2 linked regions of the Nothobranchius furzeri genome follow. The protein of the gene in region 1 binds, or shares a complex with, the protein of each later gene. Links are inferred from orthologs where the notes say so. Each region holds a gene or a part of one and is shown on either strand. Other genes may lie near its edges.

The links. The genes of interacting proteins can lie anywhere in the genome.
Region 2: the proteins of lin9 (region 1) and mybl2b are in contact, whole or in part, in a crystal structure (PDB 6C48), measured with the Homo sapiens proteins. The link is inferred for Nothobranchius furzeri from reciprocal best matches to the Homo sapiens genes LIN9 and MYBL2. Residues at the interface, in NP_001353174.1 of Homo sapiens: Lys356, Gln385, Arg386, Tyr388, Ala389, Thr390, Val392, Leu393, Leu395, Glu396, Asn399, Leu402, Asn403, Leu406; in NP_002457.1 of Homo sapiens: Trp663, Ala667, Cys668, Gly669, Gln674, Met677, Gln678, Ala681, Arg682, Leu684, Leu685, Arg687.

What each region holds. Positions count from the first base shown.
Region 1 is NC_091742.1:4,989,373-4,999,578, forward strand, and holds the start of lin9 (protein lin-9 homolog), read left to right. Parts: upstream 1-3,288; 5' UTR 3,289-3,354; coding exon 3,355-3,385; exon of another isoform or gene 3,386-3,389; intron 3,390-3,717; exon of another isoform or gene 3,718-3,782; intron 3,783-4,178; coding exon 4,179-4,211; intron 4,212-4,572; coding exon 4,573-4,664; intron 4,665-4,899; coding exon 4,900-5,013; intron 5,014-7,796; coding exon 7,797-7,927; intron 7,928-8,110; coding exon 8,111-8,236; intron 8,237-8,345; coding exon 8,346-8,503; intron 8,504-10,206. Other genes in the region: parp1 (poly [ADP-ribose] polymerase 1), read left to right, coding at 1-51, 124-252, 337-435, 579-731, 833-960, 1,051-1,112, 1,731-1,845, 2,054-2,135. UniProt on the Homo sapiens protein: Acts as a tumor suppressor. Inhibits DNA synthesis. Its ability to inhibit oncogenic transformation is mediated through its association with RB1. Plays a role in the expression of genes required for the G1/S transition.
Region 2 is NC_091743.1:41,532,658-41,543,095, forward strand, and holds the start of mybl2b (v-myb avian myeloblastosis viral oncogene homolog-like 2b), read left to right. Parts: upstream 1-5,314; 5' UTR 5,315-5,498; coding exon 5,499-5,518; intron 5,519-5,909; coding exon 5,910-6,006; intron 6,007-6,080; coding exon 6,081-6,152; intron 6,153-6,236; coding exon 6,237-6,329; intron 6,330-6,418; coding exon 6,419-6,639; intron 6,640-6,742; coding exon 6,743-6,875; intron 6,876-6,964; coding exon 6,965-7,024; intron 7,025-7,099; coding exon 7,100-7,306; intron 7,307-7,604; coding exon 7,605-7,877; intron 7,878-8,500; coding exon 8,501-8,643; intron 8,644-9,186; coding exon 9,187-9,286; intron 9,287-9,378; coding exon 9,379-9,489; intron 9,490-10,438. Other genes in the region: ift52 (intraflagellar transport protein 52 homolog), read left to right, coding at 1-73, 194-323, 407-482, 598-669, 761-887, 964-1,047, 1,143-1,211, 1,283-1,434 and 3 more; uncharacterized protein, read right to left, coding at 3,743-4,233, 4,304-4,337. UniProt on the Homo sapiens protein: Transcription factor involved in the regulation of cell survival, proliferation, and differentiation. Transactivates the expression of the CLU gene.

The DNA.
Region 1 (10,206 bases):
GACTTCGGCATGAAGAAGCCCCCCCTCCTTAACAACCTGGATTACGTTCAGGTACGCATGTTCTAACCCTCTCTACAACACCAGCTCTGGGCTTGAAAATCTGTCCCACGCGTCCCTGTCCAGGCTAAAGTGGAGATGCTGGACAACCTGTTGGACATCGAGGTGGCCTACAGCCTGTTGAGAGGAGGAGCTCAGGACAACGAGCGCGACCCCATCGACATCAACTATGAGAAACTCAAAACCAAAATGGAGGTAAAGGACGTTAACTCTTGGATGAACGTAGCTAACGTGTTTTTGTGTGGAAGCATTTTTTGTAATATGTTTAAAATTTCACAGGTTGTTGACAAAACCACACAGGAAGCAGAGATCATTATGCAGTACGTTAAGAACACGCATGCCGCTACGCACAACACGTACACGCTGGAAGTGCAAGAAGTAAGTTATTATTCAGTAAATAATATAAATGTTGTTATTAATGTATGATTATAGATGATAATATCAAAGTTATAATAATTTCTGATGAGTATGAGTTACAAAAACATTTCTTTTCCTTCTTTCCATTAAATCTTTTTTATAAGATCTTTAAAATAGTTCGTGAAGGAGAGCACCAACGCTACCGTCCATTCGAGGAGCTACACAACCGACAGCTATTGTGGCACGGCTCTCGCACCACGAATTACGCAGGAATCCTGTCTCAGGGTCTTCGTATTGCCCCTCCAGAAGCTCCTGTGGTGCGTTTGTACATTTGTAGAAGCATAAATCCTAGTTTGTAATATTTTCTTTTATCTTCACATTTCGTTGCCTCACAAGCTTCCTGTTCTCATCTCTCTAGACTGGCTACATGTTTGGCAAAGGTGTTTACTTTGCTGATATGGTGTCCAAGAGTGCCAACTACTGTCACACCTCGCAGTCGGACCCTGTAGGCCTCATACTGCTGGCAGAGGTTGCCCTGGGAAACATGTAAGTGATGGTCGTAGCTTATAATAAATGCCATTTGAAATGATTTTATCTCTGTGTAAATAAAGATTTCTTTTTATTATTTTAATGCAGGCATGAGCTGAAGAAGGCCTCTCATATTACAAAGTTACCAAAGGGCAAACAAAGTGTTAAAGGTCAGAAACCTGAAGATAAACACCTGGTTCAATAATTATTACTTGCTTTTTTGTTGCCTTTATGGAAAACTAACATTTGCGTAGAGGTAACTGGAAATATTTTATAGATGGTGCTAATTTTGGTCAGAATTTATGTCTTATGGTTGATTTTTTAGGGCATTTTTAAAAGATACTTTGCAACTTTTTCATATTTTAAATTTGTTTTCTTGAGCCAGTAGGTGCTAAAATGACCCTTTATAGGGTTAATGAAATGTCACTCAGACCCTCACCACCCTCTGTGGGCAAAATACTGCATTTGCAACTTCAGAGTACCGGTCCGGTCTGTTGGGCTTAGAAAAAAGTTCAGCTGACATACCTGGCGCTGCAGTCTGCTTCCAGCACATTTCCTGTATGTTTTAGATAATGAACACAGCTGATTTGTTTGATTTAGTGATGAATCACTCCTGTAGACACTAATGGAGGCTGAGGAGACATTTCAGCTGTTAAATTAAGATGTTAAAAAGACCAATGCACAGGGAGGGCATACGTTTTGCTTTCGGTTCTACTAAACTGACACTAGAGGGTGCTAAAAGCAAGTCAAAACTGACTAGTCTCCCTTTAACCTTTTTTTCTATCCAGGTTTGGGTCGAACTGCTCCTGATCCAAATGCTACTGTCAATTTGAATGGCGTGCATGTGCCTCTGGGAAAAGGCGTCCACACTAACATCGATGACACAAGTCTACTGTACAACGAGTATCCTTTGAGATTCATCCAGTTATTTCTTATTGGGAACGTTTTACAGCAATCTGATCTGAAAGTATTTATAAATCACTCATAGATTGATAACAAACATTGTTGTTGTCTTTATTGTAGCTTTATTTCACTCGTCACACATGCACTTTATTTTTATTCCTTTGCGTTCAATCCTGTTTTCTGTTTTCCTTAACCACTGCTCCTCCAGGTACATTGTTTATGATGTGGCACAGGTAAACATGAAGTATCTCTTGAAGATCAAGTTTAATTACCAGACATCCCTGTGGTAGAAAAAAGGCAACGTTTGAAGAAAAACACCACTTCTGCATCCAAATGCCTGGAATATTATACCACTTTACAGCTATTTCATGGTTCTGTAGCAGGCAGCCTTCATTAGGATCACGTTAACTTTGTAAAACTGAAATCACAACAGGACGGTTGTAGAAAATACAGGAAGCCTCAGACGATGATGGTTAACGATTTCATTCTTTTAATTTGATCAGTTCATGAAAATCTGTTGATAAGCTTACGTCTAAAGTGTTACAGAGTGTCTGCAAGGGGTTTTGAGTTGAGACCAGAATTATTTCAATGGCTGTTTTCTGAAGTAGCCTTGATGATACTGTATAAGGTCTGACATGTACATATTTGTTTAGTTGTTTCTGTCTCAAGCCGTCTTCCACAACTTTTTGTATGAAAATTGTGTTAATTTTTGTTCCATAAATCACAATAAAGCACGGGACATGTAAAGACTTTTGTCTTTATGTTTTTGTTTTACTCTGAATGGAAATCAGCCTATAATGCATTTATTTACCATTTGTAAACATGTTGAAAGTAAATGATCTTATGGGAGGTCAAAGGTCATGTCCTTAATGCTTCGTGTTCTTAAAAGTGTTTCAACTGCTTTAACATTTTTGGTTTTTAGCTAAATAAAGTTGGTTACAGCCGCGTTTTAAGCATACATGTTCAGTTGAATTAATATTTATGGTGGAAAACCTTTGATTTCACCTTGAAAGTGCTTGAATTTGATTTGGTTTAAGATGTAAAAACCGTGAAATAAAAAAATGCATATAATATACTAACGAGATAAAAATGAGTTTAGCAACAACGTGATCACGAGACTACCTGATAGACTTAAAGCATTTAATATTTAAAGTACAGCTCATAGGCTAATTTAGTTATTGTAGAGGTAACGTAAAACATTAAATAACGTGTTAACTTTGTGTCTGAATTCTTAAATCCGACAAAGGACATTTCCAGTACGTCTAAGTGGAGTCAAGGTTTGTTATCCACACCCATCTTTTTTCTTGCATTCCTGTACCAAGTTTCAACAAAAATATTGTACTTATATAAAATATACTTTACAGTTTATGAGTCAGAGTGACACAAAGTGACTTAGCGCCGGTGGTTGTATCAGTTTGTTTATTTTTTGTCTCAAATCGCCCTCCAGACGGATTCTAACCCAGAATGCATTTTGACAAAGTCTTTGAAAAGCGGCGCGGCTAATTCAAGATGGCGGAGATGGACCAGCTGTTAGACGAGAGTGGGTAACAACACACCATACTGTCAGTTTTACAGTGTGAACAAGCAGCGAATCTATTATAAAAAAGATAAACAGCAGGCGGAAACCCGATAGCACCGTTCATACGGCAAATATTGTAGGTTTTGGGTTGACTTTATAAGCCGCGTTTGGATGTAGAAACCGGTCTACTGCTTGCTAGCACCACGAGCTAACTATAGCTAATACAGCAGTTGAAGAAGTTACTTTAGCTCAACTGGGTAAACGAATCCCGTTAGCTTAGCTGTGAGCTAACCGCTGCTAACCTTATAAATAGAGCTACAATAACAATAGGACTACCGCAGCTAATGACTCTGTGTTTGAGTAATCAGGCTTAGTTTTCCTCATCTTTCTCCCTGGAAATGTATTTTCTTACCATAAGGTTTGTTAGCGCTTGTTACATGGTTACGCGATTGTTGTTATCATTTATTGGTTTGGCTTTTTACACTGAAATAACGGATCTAAATAAATTTAATGTAATTAGATATGACCTTCAGTTCGTGGTAACATCAGCTCGCTTCACCATGTCTGGTGTTGCCTGTCAAGCTGATGTTTCGACCCGTGTTTGACAGCTGAAACTTGGGAGGAAAGGCCTCTAACTCAACCTATCTGACCGATCCGAACGTCATTTTGGTTCTTTGATAGCATAAGTAATATTAGCATTTTACTCAAACATGGAGATATCTGATTTCCTACATTTGTTGATGAAATGACATTTGTTTTAGCTGTTAATAATGCTAATTGATACTGATGTTGCACAATTTCCCATCTTCCTTAGGCTCCTCTGCAGAGGCCCTGGTCAGTTTAAAAGGTACTTAGTCTGTTTATTTTTAATTTGCTCTTTGTACTGTTAAAATGATCTGGATTTAGATTTTTCGTAAACTATGTTTTTATCATTAAAAACATGAACGTTGATTAGGTCAGAGCCATATATGTATTAAACTCCTGGATAAAAGTGGTTAGTATTCCTAAGCCCCTCACACACATGAAGCTGTGTATTACCCTCATAATACCAAGCTTATGACCTGCACTGCCTGCATGTTTTTACAAAATAAAGTCAGCAGTTCGTGCTTTCTTTCTAGTAATAAAAACAGCACAAACTTGGTCAGAAAGCATATTAAATTTATGTGGATTGTGTTCACAATTTATTGTACAAATCCATCTTTTTACAGAGGGCAGCTTGTCTAACACTCTGAATGAGAAGAACAGTTTCACTAGAGCTCACAACACCAGAGGACGCCATTCATCTGTCACAATGGACGTGGTAAAACGATGATCACTTTTATCATGACTAATTAAGATGAACTAGAAACGCATTTATTATTGTTTGGAAAGCTACAATTACATAAGATTTGTATATTTGTCATAAAAAGTTTGAATAAATATTAATAATGGACTTTCTTGAAGACACTTTGGAGGCATAATTGAGATTTGTCGAGAAACAGTTCTATAAAAAAAATATCGATTCTTCTGAGAAAACTTAATTTTTGTGTCTTCAGCCTACAAGGAGCTCTAAGAGAAGCCGTTTGTTTCGGGAGGAAGATGAATCGCCGCAGCAGCGTCCCTCTTCCAGGTCCCCTCGGAGGAGCCAAAGGGTCTCCACTACACCACAGGTACAAACGCCAAAGTTTTCACGGGGTCTCAAAATCATTAAAAGTGCTTGATAGTACAAATTATTACTCAAGAGTATCTTTTTTTTTTGTAAAACCAGGAAGTGAAAGAGTTGTTCTGTGCATGTGTGTGCTGTTCATGCACGTAAGATGCAGGAAAATCTTAAGCTTTTGAAACTGCTGTAACGTTTATTTGGCGAAGGTGTAAGGACCATAGAACTCCACTCAATAAGGTTGTTATACATAGGATGGTCTTTCTGCTTTTCTTTTCTAAAGTGTGTGTAAAATGCTGACTTGTGACATTTAATCATGACTTAATGGTTGCTTTTGGGGACGTTTATGATCATAAAATTTGTTTGTAGTTGCACCAAAACAGTTTGGGGTGTTGGTGCATTCAAGGAAGAGGAGATGAACTTGGTTGACCTGTTCTGCAGTATTATATTGACATACTGCCCTCTAAAGCAACATTTTAGTGGATTTTATTGGGAACATTGGTTCATTCATTCCAAATAGTTTGTTTAAAGGCATATTTTACAACTTCTTCATATTTTTAAATCATTTTCTTGAGCCGATATGTGCTAAAATGACCTTTTACAGGGTTAATAAAATGTCACTCAGACCCCACCGCCTCTATGGCCAGAAAATCACACTTGCAACTTCAGTTTCCGGTCCCTTTTGGACCTTGTAAAGTTGAGCTGACATGCCAGTGCTGCAGTCTGCTTCCAGCATGTTGAACACAGCTGATTTGTTTGATTTAGTGATGAACCGCTTCTGTTTAAACTAATGAAGGCTGAGGACACGTTTCACGCATTAGATTAAGCTGTAAAAAGATGAACGCACAGTAGTAATGTGACGTTCATGAACAAATCGAATCTTTTGAACACGTTTTCAAAGTGAACAGTGAGAGCCGAGTTCCTGTAGAGTAGAGGTGTGAATCTTCACTTGTCTCTCGATTCAATTCGATTCGATATCCCGATGCGTCACGATTATTTCATATTGATTTGTTTTCATCGATGAATTGAAGATGTCAGATAATTGCTTTTTATTTTTTATCAAAAGCGTAATTGACACAACCTGCCGTCCCCCAAAAGCTCTCCATTCACAACAGTTAAGGACGAAACATTTTAAACATTTAAGAAGATTTAACAAAGTAAAACAATCTGTTTCCTGGTTCAACACCACGCCTCAGGCTGAGAAAAACACGCTTTGCAAAAACTCACAAAATCTAAAAAAGTACTGAAAACCTACAGGACACATAATGTAATAATAAAATCCATAATGGGTTCATAAATGAGTGTTTAATGTCTCTGAGCAGCTCTAGAGTCAAATATTTATGCTGCAGTTCAAGTCTGTCAGAAATGACACCAAATGAAATGTTTGACTTAGTTTATTTTATTTGAACCCAGTGGTTCATTTCTGAAATGTTGGAGCAGGAATCAAGTTCTGTTTGATGCAGAAAATAATAAAACATCAAACTAATTATACACTTCCAATAATATTTAAGATGTGTGTTTTATTCTTGCTGATAATAACACCAGCAGAAGGCTGTGGGCTGGATTAGGATTAAATTACCCAGCTGATGGATCTCCTTCACTAACCAGCTAACTACAAACCTTTCCACTAAGCTGTCCTGTGGGACCCTCACCATGTAACCCTCCATGCTGTCTCTGGAGGAGCAGGTAGAAGACAAGATCTCCTGTAACTTAAAATGAACCAAAGCTTCCTCCCAGTTTCTCTTTAAGCTGAATTTAACATCATTTTATCTTCATGAAACAAAAGAATTAAGTGGAACAAGAACTTCTATCTTCTATTTCGCTCTCCTTTTAACTTCTCCGTGTCCCTAAATTAAAGAGACAGACGACCACGCTGCAGCCGCCATCACTGACCCCGCCCCCTCCCCAAGACCGGATCTCCCAGCATCACAACACTCGGTCTGACTGAGCGCTTCCAGGAGAAACAATAATTAAATTATGAAAATAATTATGCGTGTTTGGAGCATCGGTTTGGAGGAGCGTCCTCCGATCCTCTCTCTTGTGTGAGCAGACAGTGTCTCTCTCTCTCTCTCTCAGTCGTTGATCGAGCGAGCGGAGCGCGCCGCATGACGACCCGCTCAATTAACATAATTCGCAGCCCAATTCCAACAGAACCGGTTGGGCTGATTCGGTCTCAGGTTACAACTCTAGCGTTCAGCCCTGCAGTACCACATTAAGGCGGAACCACTTGGTAAATGTGGAGGACGCTCACTGACAGATTTGGATGCTGCGCTGGTGCTGCCGTTAAAACAAAACTACATTCCACCATAATCGATTATGGCGTACTCTTCTACGACGCAGAATCGTTTATGTCCGCATCCCGATGCATCGATTATTTGATTATTTTCCTCAGCTCTACTGTAGAGAGCCGTTCATCTTGTCTTGTGGTAACGAACGTCCCCGAAAGTCGGCAAAGCGCGCTCGCTTAACCCCCTTCCACCGCTGCAACCATGTTGCTCTTATCACACACAAACACACACGCTCTGATGGCTTCGCTTCATTCAAAGGAGCCAGTCTTTTGAACGGCTCTTTGAGGTAAATGACCGACTAAAGAATGACTGCCATGAAATGCCATAAATCTCATCACTAACGCACAGTGAGAAGAGTTTCACTTTTGGACACCAGGGGGTGCTAAAAGCAAGCCAAAACTACATAGTTTCCCTTTAATTGCATCATTGATTTTTGTGTTTATGGCCTCATGGCTCTTGTGTATCTGCATGTGCATTGATGGTTGTCTTGCATTTGTCTCTGCAGAAGTTTTCAAACATCATGACACCAGATAAGAAGGCTTCACAGAAAATAGGGCTGAGATTGAGAAACCTCCTTAAACTACCCAAAGCTCACAAATGGTGCATCTATGAATGGTTCTATTCCAATATCGACAGGTAACGTCTCACTTTGGAAGATGTTGGTCATTTACACACAGACATATTTGAGTTGGTCTGTTTTATTCTCCAGGTACATTTATAGTAACTTAAGTCAACCTAGATGTACAAAACAATTTAGTTCACGAGTTAATGTCTTGTTTAATTGCACTTTCAAAATAAATTTGTTGTTTTTTCTTCCAGACCTTTGTTTGAAGGTGACAATGAGTTCTGCTTGTGCCTCAAGGAGTCTTTTCCCAATTTGAAAACAAGAAAATTGACCAGAGTTGAGTGGGGAACCATCAGGAGGCTGATGGGAAAACCTCGACGGTACGCGGTGGTCTCTACGTTTGTTGTTCCCCGTGTGTTTCACCTGAATGTTGAAGCCTCAGATCAAAGCCGGTCGATGTTACAGTTCTGGTTCTGTCGACACATCCAGGTGTTCATCGGCTTTCTTTGCTGAAGAGAGAACCGCGCTGAGGCAGAAGCGGCAAAAAATGCGCCTTTTGCAGCAGAGGAAACTGTCAGATGTGTCAAATTGCAAAGACCTTCCTGATGAAATTCCTCTGCCACTCATCATAGGGACAAAAGTCACTGGTAAGATCACCAGTTTCACATGTACTGATGATTCTGCAACATTTTATATGACTTGTTTAAAAAAAGTCTATAGAAAATCCTTTCCACTAATGAAATTATAGAAACAGAGTAAGTGTCTGCTAGTTTGTAGTTTTCACAAATGATCTGTCTTGTTCACGAGTGAGGGAAAGATGGAACGAGAGATCGATAGGCGGATTGGTGCTGCATCTGCAGCGATGCAAGCGCTGTACCGGTCTGTCGTGGTGAGGAGAGAGCTGAGCCAGAAGCCCAAGCTATAGATTTATCAGTCGATCTACATTCCCATCCTCGTCTTCTCACCTTCTCAGTGGCCTAGTGGTAGTGTCGGCCCTGGGACTGGGAGATCAGGGTTCAAATCCCGGTCGGGTCATACCAAAGACTTTAAAATTGGGACCCAATGCCACCCTGCTTGACACTCAGCTTTTAGGGGTTGGATTGGGGGGGGGGGGGGTTAACCCACCAAAGAGTTCTCTAGCCACTGCTGCAGCTCACTGCTCCCCACGGGGATGGGTCGGATGCGGAGATGTATTTCACCAGTATGTGATGATTAATGGGATTTTGCAGGGATACAAGCAGCAAAAAAAAAAAAAAATCTATGCAGGGTGTCTGGGTTTTTACAAAATAATGCCGTCATTCTGCCACAACCCCCGTGGCGTCATCAGGGACCCTTAGATTGTTTATAGGTGGTCAGACTGTGGTGGTAATGTGGCACCATTGTGTCTTTTTTTATAAAAGTTTAGGTGATGGCAGCATGAAGGAGGTATGGGGCGATCTCTGAGATGCCGCAGATTTCTGTTTATCTTGAACATAACTTGCTTTTTATTGCGAATGAAGCCACGATCGTTTTTTTAACAACCCGCTCCTAAAGTGTTCTATCCTCCACAGTCCATGTGCAGTCTCCGGTGATCTGAGCTTCAGCTCTAACCGAAAGAAGCTCATGTTTGCCATCTCAGCTGATTTTGTTCAAAAAGCAAAACTTACTGCCCGTGTTTACTAGAGCTGAGGAAAATAATCAAATAATTGATGCATCAGGATGCGGACATAAACGATTCTGCATCGTAAAAGAGTACGCCATAATTGATTAGAGTGGAATGTAGCTTTGTTTTAATGGCAGCACCAGCGCAGCATCCAAATCTGTCAGAGTGAGCGTCATCCACATTTACCAAGTGGTTCCGCCTTAATGTGGTACTGCAGGGCTGAGCGCTAGAGTTGTAACCTGAGACCAAATCAGCCCGACTGGTTCTGTTGGATTTGGGCCGTAAATTAAGTTAATTGAGCGGGTCGTCATGCGACGCGCTCCGCTCGCTCGCACAGCAACTGAGAGAGAGAGAGAGAGAGAGAGAGAGAGACTGTCTGCTCACACACAAGAGAGAGGATCGGAGGACGCTCCTCCAAACCGATGCTCCAAACACGCATAATTATTTTCATAATTTAATTATTGTTTCTCCTGGAAGCGCTCAGTCAGACCGAGTGTTGTGATGCTGGGAGATCCGGTCTTGGGGAGGGGGCGGTGTCAGTGATGGCGGCTGCAGCGTGGTCGTCTGTCTCTTTAATTTAGGGACACGGAGAAGTTAAAAGGAGAGCGAAATAGAAGATAGAAGTTCTTGTTCCACTTAATTCTTTTGTTTCATGAAGATAAACTGATGTTAAATTCATCTTAAAGAGAAACTGGGAGGAAGCTTTGG
Region 2 (10,438 bases), on another chromosome or scaffold:
CAGTATGGAGAAGTTGAAGGGAGCCCCGTTGTGGATTTCTGCAGGCCCGAGGGAGAAGTTCACTGCATCAGAGGTGATTTGTTTACACTAATCTGGCTGCTTTATTTTAATGGAAATTTGCACATTTGCATGAGAATTACTTGCATCAGTCTGAGAAGAGCTGCTTTGCTCTGTCTGATCCCATTTCTTCCAGTTAGAGATGCTGAAGCAATACCTGGATGGAGGGGGGAATATCTTGGTCATGCTGGGCGAGGGGGGAGAGATGAAATACAACACAAACATCAATTTCCTCCTGGAGGAGTTTGGAATAATGGTCAACAATGGTGCGTGTTGATCTTACCAGACGTCAGAACTTCTGTTAAGGTTGTTTTTCGTAAAACGGTGAATGTTCTCTTCGCTACACCAGATGCAGTTGTGAGGAATGTTTATTACAAATACTTCCATCCAAAGGAGGCTTTTGTTTCTGATGGCGTGTTGAACAGGTTTGAAATTTTCTCAGAATTCTAAAACTTTACAAAGTCCTGTCTTTTACAAAGAAATAAAATATGCTGGCGTTTCAGGCTGATTCAAATGAGAGGTTTTCTTCCTCTTCCTCAGAGCGATCAGTCAAGCTGCCAGCAAAGTGACCTCAGGACTTATCGAGGATGAAAATATCGGAAACAAGTCTCAGTAAATGACTTCCTTTAATGTTGTCTTTTTACACACCATGTTTCCTGTTTTTGTTTGGGTGAAACGAGTTGTTCTGTGTGTTTTTGTACAGAAATCTCTCATTTGTGTACCCATATGGAGCCACGCTGAGTGTGATGAAGCCTGCTGTGGCTGTTCTTTCTACCGGTTTCATCAGCTTCCCGCTCAACAGGCCTATCCTGGCCTTCTATCAGGGAAAAGTGAGTTTTAAAAATGTTTTTATTGGCCAGTAACATCTGTAAAATGATACTGAAAGATATATGTTTTCTCATGAAGGAGGCTGGCAAGCTGGCTGTTTTGGGTTCCTGCCACATGTTCAGTGATCAGTATATAGACAAGGAAGGAAATAGTAAAATCATGGTGAGTTCAAGAGTTTTTTTTTCTTTCAAATGGAAAACCATCCCAGCCTGTTTTTTTTTTTTTATGGGATTTTGTTTTCCCTCTTTTCCTCCCAGGATGTTGTGCTTCAGTGGCTCATGACTGATACTATTCAGCTGAATCAGATCGATGCAGAAGATCCAGAGGTACGTAGAACACAACGGGCCCGGGAAACAGGACCACCGGTGGTTTGATGCACACCTCTGTGATCTCCCAGGTTGCAGACTACACCATGCTGCCAAACACAGGGTGCTTGTCAGGACAGCTCAGTGCATGTTTACAAGAAAGCGACGAGAACCCCAGAGACTCCACCTCCTTCATTAAGTCTGTGTTAGATTTATCAACTGAGACATTACAGCAAGTCATAAGGTGGGAAAGCGGGACTCATCCAGCACATGTTTGATGCTTTCCTTGCAGCTAAACCACTTTCCCTTGCTCTTGGCAGTGCTTATGAGCAGCTGAATGTGAAGCACGAGCCACTCCAGCTCATCACACCACAGTTCGAGACTCCTTTGCCTCCGCTTGAACCGGCTGTAAGTTTTTACGTCCAAAAACCACATAAGGCCCTGTAGAACAGGTGGCTATAGAGCCGCACATTAGCCAAGCTCCTATTCAGCTGTGCCTCCTCAGGCTAACAGATTCACTGAGGTGCCACCTGTAAATGGTCAGTGAGACTATGTGACAGTATTGAAGAATAAAACGTGTAGAAATCTCAGTCCACCCACAGTCTAGTTAGACAATACCCGCAGAGGCACCCTTTGCTCGTCGCTATGTCCAAAAGCACTGCCGGCCTTGCAGACGTCTAAAAGGGATATTAAGGTATTTTTATTTTCATGTAAAATTGAATAAAAGTTTGCAGCTGGAGTCCTGAACACTCAGCAGCTGGTCAGAGCACAGCCAACACCAACGTGTTTTCAAAATAAAAGCACACCAATATGTTTCACAGCCAATCACCTGATCATTCATTGACATTGCCGGTGTCGGTACAGGATCGGCTCGGGTCCCTTCGACTGCCGATGACGTCACATTACTGCAAATCTACTCGGCTTTCACACACGTTTTGGAAAGACATCAGCAGTTTTAATAAATTCTTGTTTGTTAACACTTAAATGTTTTCTTTAGAATTGTAATTTGTTAATAAAACACCAGATTATCTTTGTTTTGTAAAGAATGTGAAACTGCATAAAACCAGCATTGGACTGACATTCGAACAGTTCTTACATGTGAAGCCATATCGGTTTGTATTAATGTGGAGTTTGTCTGTATATTTCCTTAGTTATCTAAATACACTCTTTGACTCTAAATATTGCTTGGTGTCTTTCAAAAAAGTTCTTATATTTTATTTTGCCCCATTTCATCAACATAAAGAGCTTTTGAGGGTCACCGTTTATCATTTGCTTATATTTTACATTTCATTTAGAAATTCAAACATTTTCTCCAAAAACTGTTGATTTTTGCACTACAGGACTGCAACCGCAAATTTGTTCTGACCAATCACAATCATAACGTGATAACGTAACTTCCGTAAGCTTCATGTTCAGCCAATCAACCACGTTGACGTCATCGGCAGTCGAAGGACCCCGAGCCGATCCTGCACCGACGCCATCAGGCGAACAGAGAGCGTGCCAGTTATTAAAACAGATGACGTCTGAAGCGGTCCTGGATGTGCTGCAAACACCGATTTGTTTTGTCATTTGACCAAAATGTCAAGTAGACGAACTCCAGGCCCATCTGAAGTGCAGCCTTTAGAAATTACTTTTTCATTTCAGGACTCCATAAGTTGCATCTGAGCTGACAAATTTTCTCAGACGACTCAAACCTTGCTCCTCATTTTTAGGTCAGAATAAACGTTGGTCCAACCCGTAGCTCATCGGTTCTGTTGGATGTTAACACTCTTTGTGAACAGGAGCTTTTACCACATGATCAGTGAGATTACAGGATTAGACTGCTGTACAAGAATTAACTCCAAAATGGGGCCGAAAAATGTCTTAACGCCTTTACGTTTTAGGTTTTCCCTCCTGCCCTGAACGACTTGCCTCCTCCTATGCTGGACTTGTTTGATCTAGATGAAACCTTCTCATCAGAGAAGGCCCGACTCGCACAACTCACCAACAATTGTAAGACCTTTCACCAGCTTCCTCAGCTGGAAGCAGGACGGTACCATTGCCAACTCCCCTCCCCCCCTCCCCACAGGCACAGACGACGACCTGGAGTTCTACATTCGCAGATGTGGTGAAATTCTGGGTGTGACTCCCAAACTAGATAAAGAGCAGCGGGATGCCAAGCACATACTAGAACATATCTTCTTTCAGGTTGTAGAGTTTAAGAAACTCAACCAGGTGGGTGTGGCCTGTCAGTCTGGTGCCATGGTGCTTCGAGTCTGGTTCAAGTTTAACTTCTCACCTTCAGGAACACGACATGGAGACAGAGGAACGGGTGTCAACATGACCTGGTCTACGGTCCGAACGCGAGCGGGATGTGGTCCTAGCAAGCTGCCGTCAACGTTCAGAAGACTTGGGAGTGAAAGCATCTGCAAATCAACGTTTTCTATCTTTATTGTAGTAAATTATTAATTAAAAGACCCTCATTTATTAGAATAGTTTTTAGGTGCATGACTCAAAAATAATCCATCCACTTCATCTTAAAGGATGCAACAGTAGATCATTCTGATGCCCCATCAGGGTGAAACCTCAGCCAGGGACTGGTTCTGGGGTTTGGGACTCCACGTCTGCTGCTGAACGCTGGAATCCACGAAGCACCGGGGGCTGTTGCTCTCAGCTTTAATCACGGACACGTCCCAAGAGATCTGCAAGGACGTGAGGTCTCCATTAGACCGGTCAAAAAACCCAGCGGGTTTAGAATTCGGCACGGTCACGATGGGCGTGGAAAATTTCCCCTGCATGGGCACGGTCAGGGTGCAGCCATCAGCCTCTTGTGTGTTGGAGCCGGAGCCCAGAAACGAAAACCCCCGACAAGGAGAAAGGAGATCCGTTGACAGACAGAGGGAAGCCAGGATAGATACTCTGCCCTCAGATCTGTTCGCTACAGCTTCATTTGATGCTCTGGAGAGGGACAGGTACTCCAAAGACAAAGCAGACAGCAAACCCTGTTCTCCAAAGAACTTCCTGTCCAGCTCTGATGGAGATGAGCACTCAAAGCTTTTCAGATCTAGAAAGATAAGTAGTTAAGAATGTGAGCTTCTCATCAAAGGTAGCAACAAAATCACCAGCATGCTTACCTTTAAAAACAAAAGCTTTGTCCATGGTGTCCATTGGTCTTCAAACACCTGGCCAGCAGCAGGTGGCTTTAAATGGTTGAAGCTGCTTGTTAATTGGCCCAGCTGGAGGCTGCTCATCAGTCGGGATCAGAGGAAACGTTTTCTGTTTGGGCCGATGTGTGTTTGCAGTTCTGCTTTAAAAAATACTGTTTCATTTATAAAATGATTAGAATGGCTTTTAAATCTTTATTGAAAAGAAAACAAGACAAATTTACAGCACATGATCATAGTAATCTGCAACTTGGGGCCACAAGAGGCTCTTTGTGTCTCATATCTTGGTGATTAATTATATTTATTTTCAAAGTTTCATAATAAAGGTCTTTGTTTGGTTTCTGTCCAGTTTTATGCAAGTTTATATACATCTATAACAATTTGATACTAATGACACCTCTGTCGATTGGTTCCATAGCTTATTGTCCCTGATCTTTTACTCAAATTCACCACAAAGTAAATATATTTAAATAAAGTTATGGCGAGTATTTAGGACTCATTTAATTAAACATGACACATTGATAAAAGGGTTATCTGGCAAGTTAGAGAAAGAAATAGAGGTATAGCATATGTTAGATTTCATAGTGGAATAGTTTAGTGTTTATATTTTACCACAATATTGTTTTTACACTTACAGAGGGAGTGCCTTTTAATTTGACCTCCAGAGGAAAATCACATATTTGGCTAAATATATTGATTACAAGCCAATTACATTAAGTGGATAAAATAAATAAATATACTAGGATTAATCAGAAGAAAGGACAATTGAAGAAACGTGTTTCTTGTTTTTGAGTTAAGAAGTTTCGAGAGAAATTGTGAAATTTCTAGAATAAACAAAAGCTTGCTACGCTCCTCGTTCTTTTATTTTGAAAGTCTGGTGGGAAGTTTGACATCTTCCTGCGCCTGACTGGTTCGACCGCGCAGATCTGGTGCGCATCTACGTCACTGCTCTGGTCGAACGAGAGTGAAGGGCGCGAGATAGAAATAAGAAGCGCGGTCGGAATGGGCGCTCAGCGGCTGCTGCTGTCGGTACACAGAACCTCCAGCGCCGGCCCCTCAGAACCACACCGGGACAACGGTCCACTCCAACGTAAACACCTCTGTGCGCGCGCGGCGGAAGGAGGGAATATCGCCGTGTGACAAAGTAAACAAGTGAAGCAGAGAAATGTCTTCGTGGTCGCGCGGGTAAGAGATCGATCGTTGTTGCCGGATGTTGTTTTTGACAGTAGCAGAACTTGTTAATCTACTGATGTCTGGACGTTACTGCCTAGCTTAGATGCATTTGCAGCTGCAGTTAGCGGAAGGGAAACACGTTAGGAGGAGTTTTATTGTTGGAATTGTGACTCACGACTGCCGCCCTTTTCCGGGCTGTAATCACGAACAACAAGTCTGAGCAAATGAATCCTTGTCCTGCCCTCAGCAGTACTGTTGGTTGTAGCTAGTGAATTATAAATAATATAACCATGAAAACGCGCAAGTCCGCTCGTTTAGCCTCCCCCCGCCTGTATGGCCTTAGGGCGGGCACTGGCTAACTCCTGGTGTCTTCATTAATCAGCTGTGCACATGTGTTTCTCAGCGAGGATGCAGACGAGGCCATGCATCAGGACACTGATTCTGATGTGGCCGAGCCCAGGGATGGAGGGAAGGTGAAGGTGAAGTGGACTCAGGAGGAGGTGAGTGTGCTGACTTGTCCCAGATCACGTCGTTGTGGGTCAGCAGACCTGAACACACTGGGTTGTCTTTACAGGATGAGAAGCTTAAAGTGCTGGTTCTAAAACTGGGTCAGAATGATTGGAAACGTGTTGCCAGCTGCATCCCAGTGAGTCCCGCTGTTCTGGTCTTTAGTGTTACCGTCTTCGAGTCACTCCTTTAGCTCGTTCGTGCCTCTCTTTGCATTCTTCAGACTCACACCGAGCACCAGTGTCAGCACCGCTGGTTGAAGGTCTTGGATCCAGAACTGGTCAAAGGTCCTTGGACCAAAGAGGAGGATGAGAAGGTGGGCTGCGTTTCGTGTTGTGGATCAAGTGTAGAATATTTCTTGAGATTGTCAAAAAGATGCAACTGAATTGTTTGTTTTTCTTCCAGGTCATAGAGCTTGTTAATCTCTACGGTAACAAACAGTGGGCGATGGTAGCCAAGCACCTGAAGGGCAGACTGGGAAAGCAGTGTAGGGAGCGCTGGCACAACCACCTCAACCCCAACGTGAAGAAGTCATCGTGGACTGCTGAGGAGGACCTGATCATCTACAAGGCCCACTGTCTGCTTGGAAACCGCTGGGCCGAGATCGCCAAGCTGCTTCCTGGAAGGTCGGAAAATGTTGCTTCCTGTTTTCTAAACAAGTGGGAGGATGCACTGATTTGTGGTTGAAGCTGAATCTTCTGCTGAAAGGTCTTGTACATCGTTTAACAGGACGGATAATGCTGTGAAGAATCACTGGAACTCCACTATAAAACGAAAGCTGGAGATGGGCTTCTACGCCAGCGAGGTTTTCAGAGCAAACGAGCTGGAGGAGCTGCTGGCGCGCGTTAGTAAAGACGTGCTGGTGGGTCGTCTCCCTCCACCAAGCCTCCTACATCAGCAGCAGTCTCACGTGTTTCTGATTCGAACATCTTGTCTGTGGTGAACCAACAGGTCGCTGGATGCTCTCAGGATGGTTCGGACAAAGAAACGGATTCAAAAGTCCGACTTTTAGTAAGAAATCATCGCATCTATTAAAAACTATGAGCTTAAATGTTGCATCAGCCATCAGTCCTTATGTTTTTACAGAAGTCACAGGAACCATCGGCTCCTGCTAAGAATTCCCACGAAGCAGAGTCGTCCAGGGCTGTCTCCTCTCTAAAGGACGTGTCAAGCCCCAAGACCGATGTGGACTCCACAGGAGAGACGAACAGTTCCAACTGGGTGGTGGACAGCTCTGGTTTCCTCTACCCTACAGGCCCTGTGCTGAAGGAAGTGCTGGACATGGTAGACGGGGTAAATACCCATAATTCACCAGAAAAATAACAAACGCATCTCTGAAACTAACTAAAGTTTAATCGTATTTGATTATAAGAAATGAGAAGCAACTCGTTGCTCCGGTTTAGTTAAATAACCAGTTGCAGCAGAAAGATGATCACCGGTGCAGCAGTTAAATCCAGGTGGTGCCTTTTTCTGTCCGTGTTGTTTTAAAGGATTATTCTATTCTATTCTATTCTATTCTATTTAGTCGACTCTTTGTAAAATCTAGCGGATACCAGACTTGTAAATAAAACGATATCTCCTGTTGGTGGAGGACTTGGACGGCTGGTGCAACCTGGCAGCCTTCGACTTGCCCGAGGACAGCCCCAGCCCCGAGCGCCACCAGTTCCGTCTGGAGGGCAGCGCCTTGCAGGAGCTGAGCAAGTGCAGCAAGGGAGAACTCATCCCCATCTCCCCCGGAGGAATCACCCCTCCCTCCATTCTGTCCCGCCGCAGCCGGAGACGCATCGCCCTGTCTCCAGACGTCAATCGGTCCATGACTCCAAAGAGCACCCCTGTCAAAATCCTGCCCTTTTCTCCGTCACAGGTGAGGAAAAGCTCCATGCTGACGGCACCGACGCTGGTTACACGTCTCCGTCATCCGGGTCATGGTAGTCTGATGAAGGCAACTGAACTTCTTCGGTTCTTCGCCTAAAAGAGGCTTAATGGCAGCAGGACAGAAATAAATGCACCGATATGACATTTTTGGGCCGATATCCAAATACTGACATCAGTGCTTCTAAAATCAGCAGGTTTTGCATAGAATGAACACATTAAAGCTGAAGAGATGATTACAATCACGGTCACATGACTAAACGAATACACCCCACCCTCTTAAACATAAAGAAGATGGGGGGAAAATATGGGTTGTTCATATCGGCCCAGTTTTATTTATGGGGCCGATGCTGATGTACAGAAAATGTGTGTGTATTTATTCTACTGCCCAGCTAAAGCCTCACACACATAATTACTGACCTATTAGCATGAAGCTGGTTATTACAAAGATGTCAGAAGTGATGTTTGTCCCAAAGCCGTGACAACTGGTTAATCGTTTTATTGTAAGATTGGAGTTTGCTGCCTTTATAAATAAAATGGCCGTTTAATCTCCTCTTTTACTAAACGTCGTTTTTTAGAGGCACAAAATCTGCCGACCTGACTTGTTGTTTTCAGTTCCTGAACATGTGGACCAAGCAGGACACGCACGACCTGGAGAACCCGTCCCTCACGTCCACCCCCGTGTGCAGCCAGAAGGTCGTCGTCACCACGCCGCTGCAGCGGGACAAAACGCCGCTCACGCAGAAGGAAAAATCCATGTGAGTGAAAAAGAAGAGAGGACAGATGTTTTCTGTAGCGCGGCGCCTCACCAGATAAAAAATCGTCTCAATTAAAATAAAAAAGATTTTTAAAAGTGATTGAAAAATCACAAAAATGAGAAAAATAAAAAATGTAAGGAAAGAAATGAGGAAATGAATAAGAGCTAATCAGTGGAAACCGGGAAAGGTGGAACGGGTGGAACAAGGAGAGGGTGATGAAGGTCCGACCAAAGCCTGAACAGGTGAGTCTTCAGCTGCTTTTTAAAGGAGACCGCTGAGTCCACTGATCTCAGGCTCAGGGGGAGAGAGTTCCAGAGTCTGGGGGCCACAGCAGCAAATGATCTGTCACCTTTGACCTTTAGCCTGGTGCTGCACAACCAGTAGGCTTTGATCACTGGACCTCAGGGACCTGCTGGAGGTGTAGGGACTGAGAAGATCACCAATGTATGATGGTGCTTGTCCATGTGAGGCCCTGCTGCTTTGCTGTGGAACAGATCAGTGTTTTTATTTTCACTCATGACCTTATTTTTGTGTGTATTTTAGGTTTGTTACTCCGAACCACAAGTCTGGGATCTGCACAACGCCACGAACCCCAACACCGTTCAAGAATGCCATGGAGAAGTACGGCGCTCTGCATCCTCTGGTGAGTCTCGCCCCGGTCTCCTCACAGCCGCTGGTAGGTGTTTGGTTTACTTCTGTGTTTGATTTCTGCTATTTCCTGTTTGGTCTCCTCAGCCCCAGACTCCAAACCTTGAAAACGATATTAACGAAGTCATCCTCAGAGATGCGGGGATAAATGTGGTCGTCATGCGTTCCACTCCACCGGAGCAACGGCGCAAAACAGCGGTAACGAGAGCTTTTTTCCAGTCAGGCGTGAAGCAGCGTGCTTTATAAGAGAGGAAGTAAAACCGAACAATTACAGGCAGCAAGGAGTTAGGAGCACCAAGAAAGCTGTAGCTCCTCCCACTCTAACGGGAAAGAGCGGATTCAGAGAGGTAGTAAAATCATGGAAGAAACGACTTTATGATGTTTTATTTGTGTGACATTCTGTATTGGGTTTGTTTACCTCAATACACCTGCAAACATTACATCCATTTAAAAAAAAGGCCACCTCCTGGCGTCACGTGGTCAGAGAGACGTAACCCGATTGACTAAAAGCCACGCGGCTCAACGAGGTGACGAGTGCTTTGGTCACTAGGAGGTCAGGCCACCTGCCATGCTGAATATCAGCTGCTGGATTTGTACGGGTGAAGTTGACGCTGGTGTATTTTAATTAAAACATTCAAATACATAATTTCACAGAGTAATCAGCATGTCGTGAATTCAGCATCTAAAACACGTCGTTTTCTGTTGAGACGGGTTTGTTCCATATGAAATGATGTCGGTAATCTGAAAAATAAAATGCTGCCAAATAAAACTAATCTGTAATTAAAATATCCAGAATAAAATATTATCGTCAACGAAATTAGATTCCTGATCTAACAACTGAAAAGTAGAAGATAAAAAATAACACGATCTCTGTACGTATACAGTAGGAGCAAATGTACTAATGGTTCTGTACCTGTGCTGGAAATGTTCCTGATTCTAAGAAAACCTCGGTCCATGCCTTTGACATAAATATACGTGGACATCTCCTTTCCATAGGCTCCAATATCACGCTTTTGTGCCAAAATGGGAGGTGGCCACCACCGCCATTTTGACCGTGTCACAGGTTCCGTCAAGCCCAGACAATTCCACAAAAGGAAAGAGAGGTGGAGCTGAGGGTGGGGCTGTAAGGCTGGGATCAACTGACGAC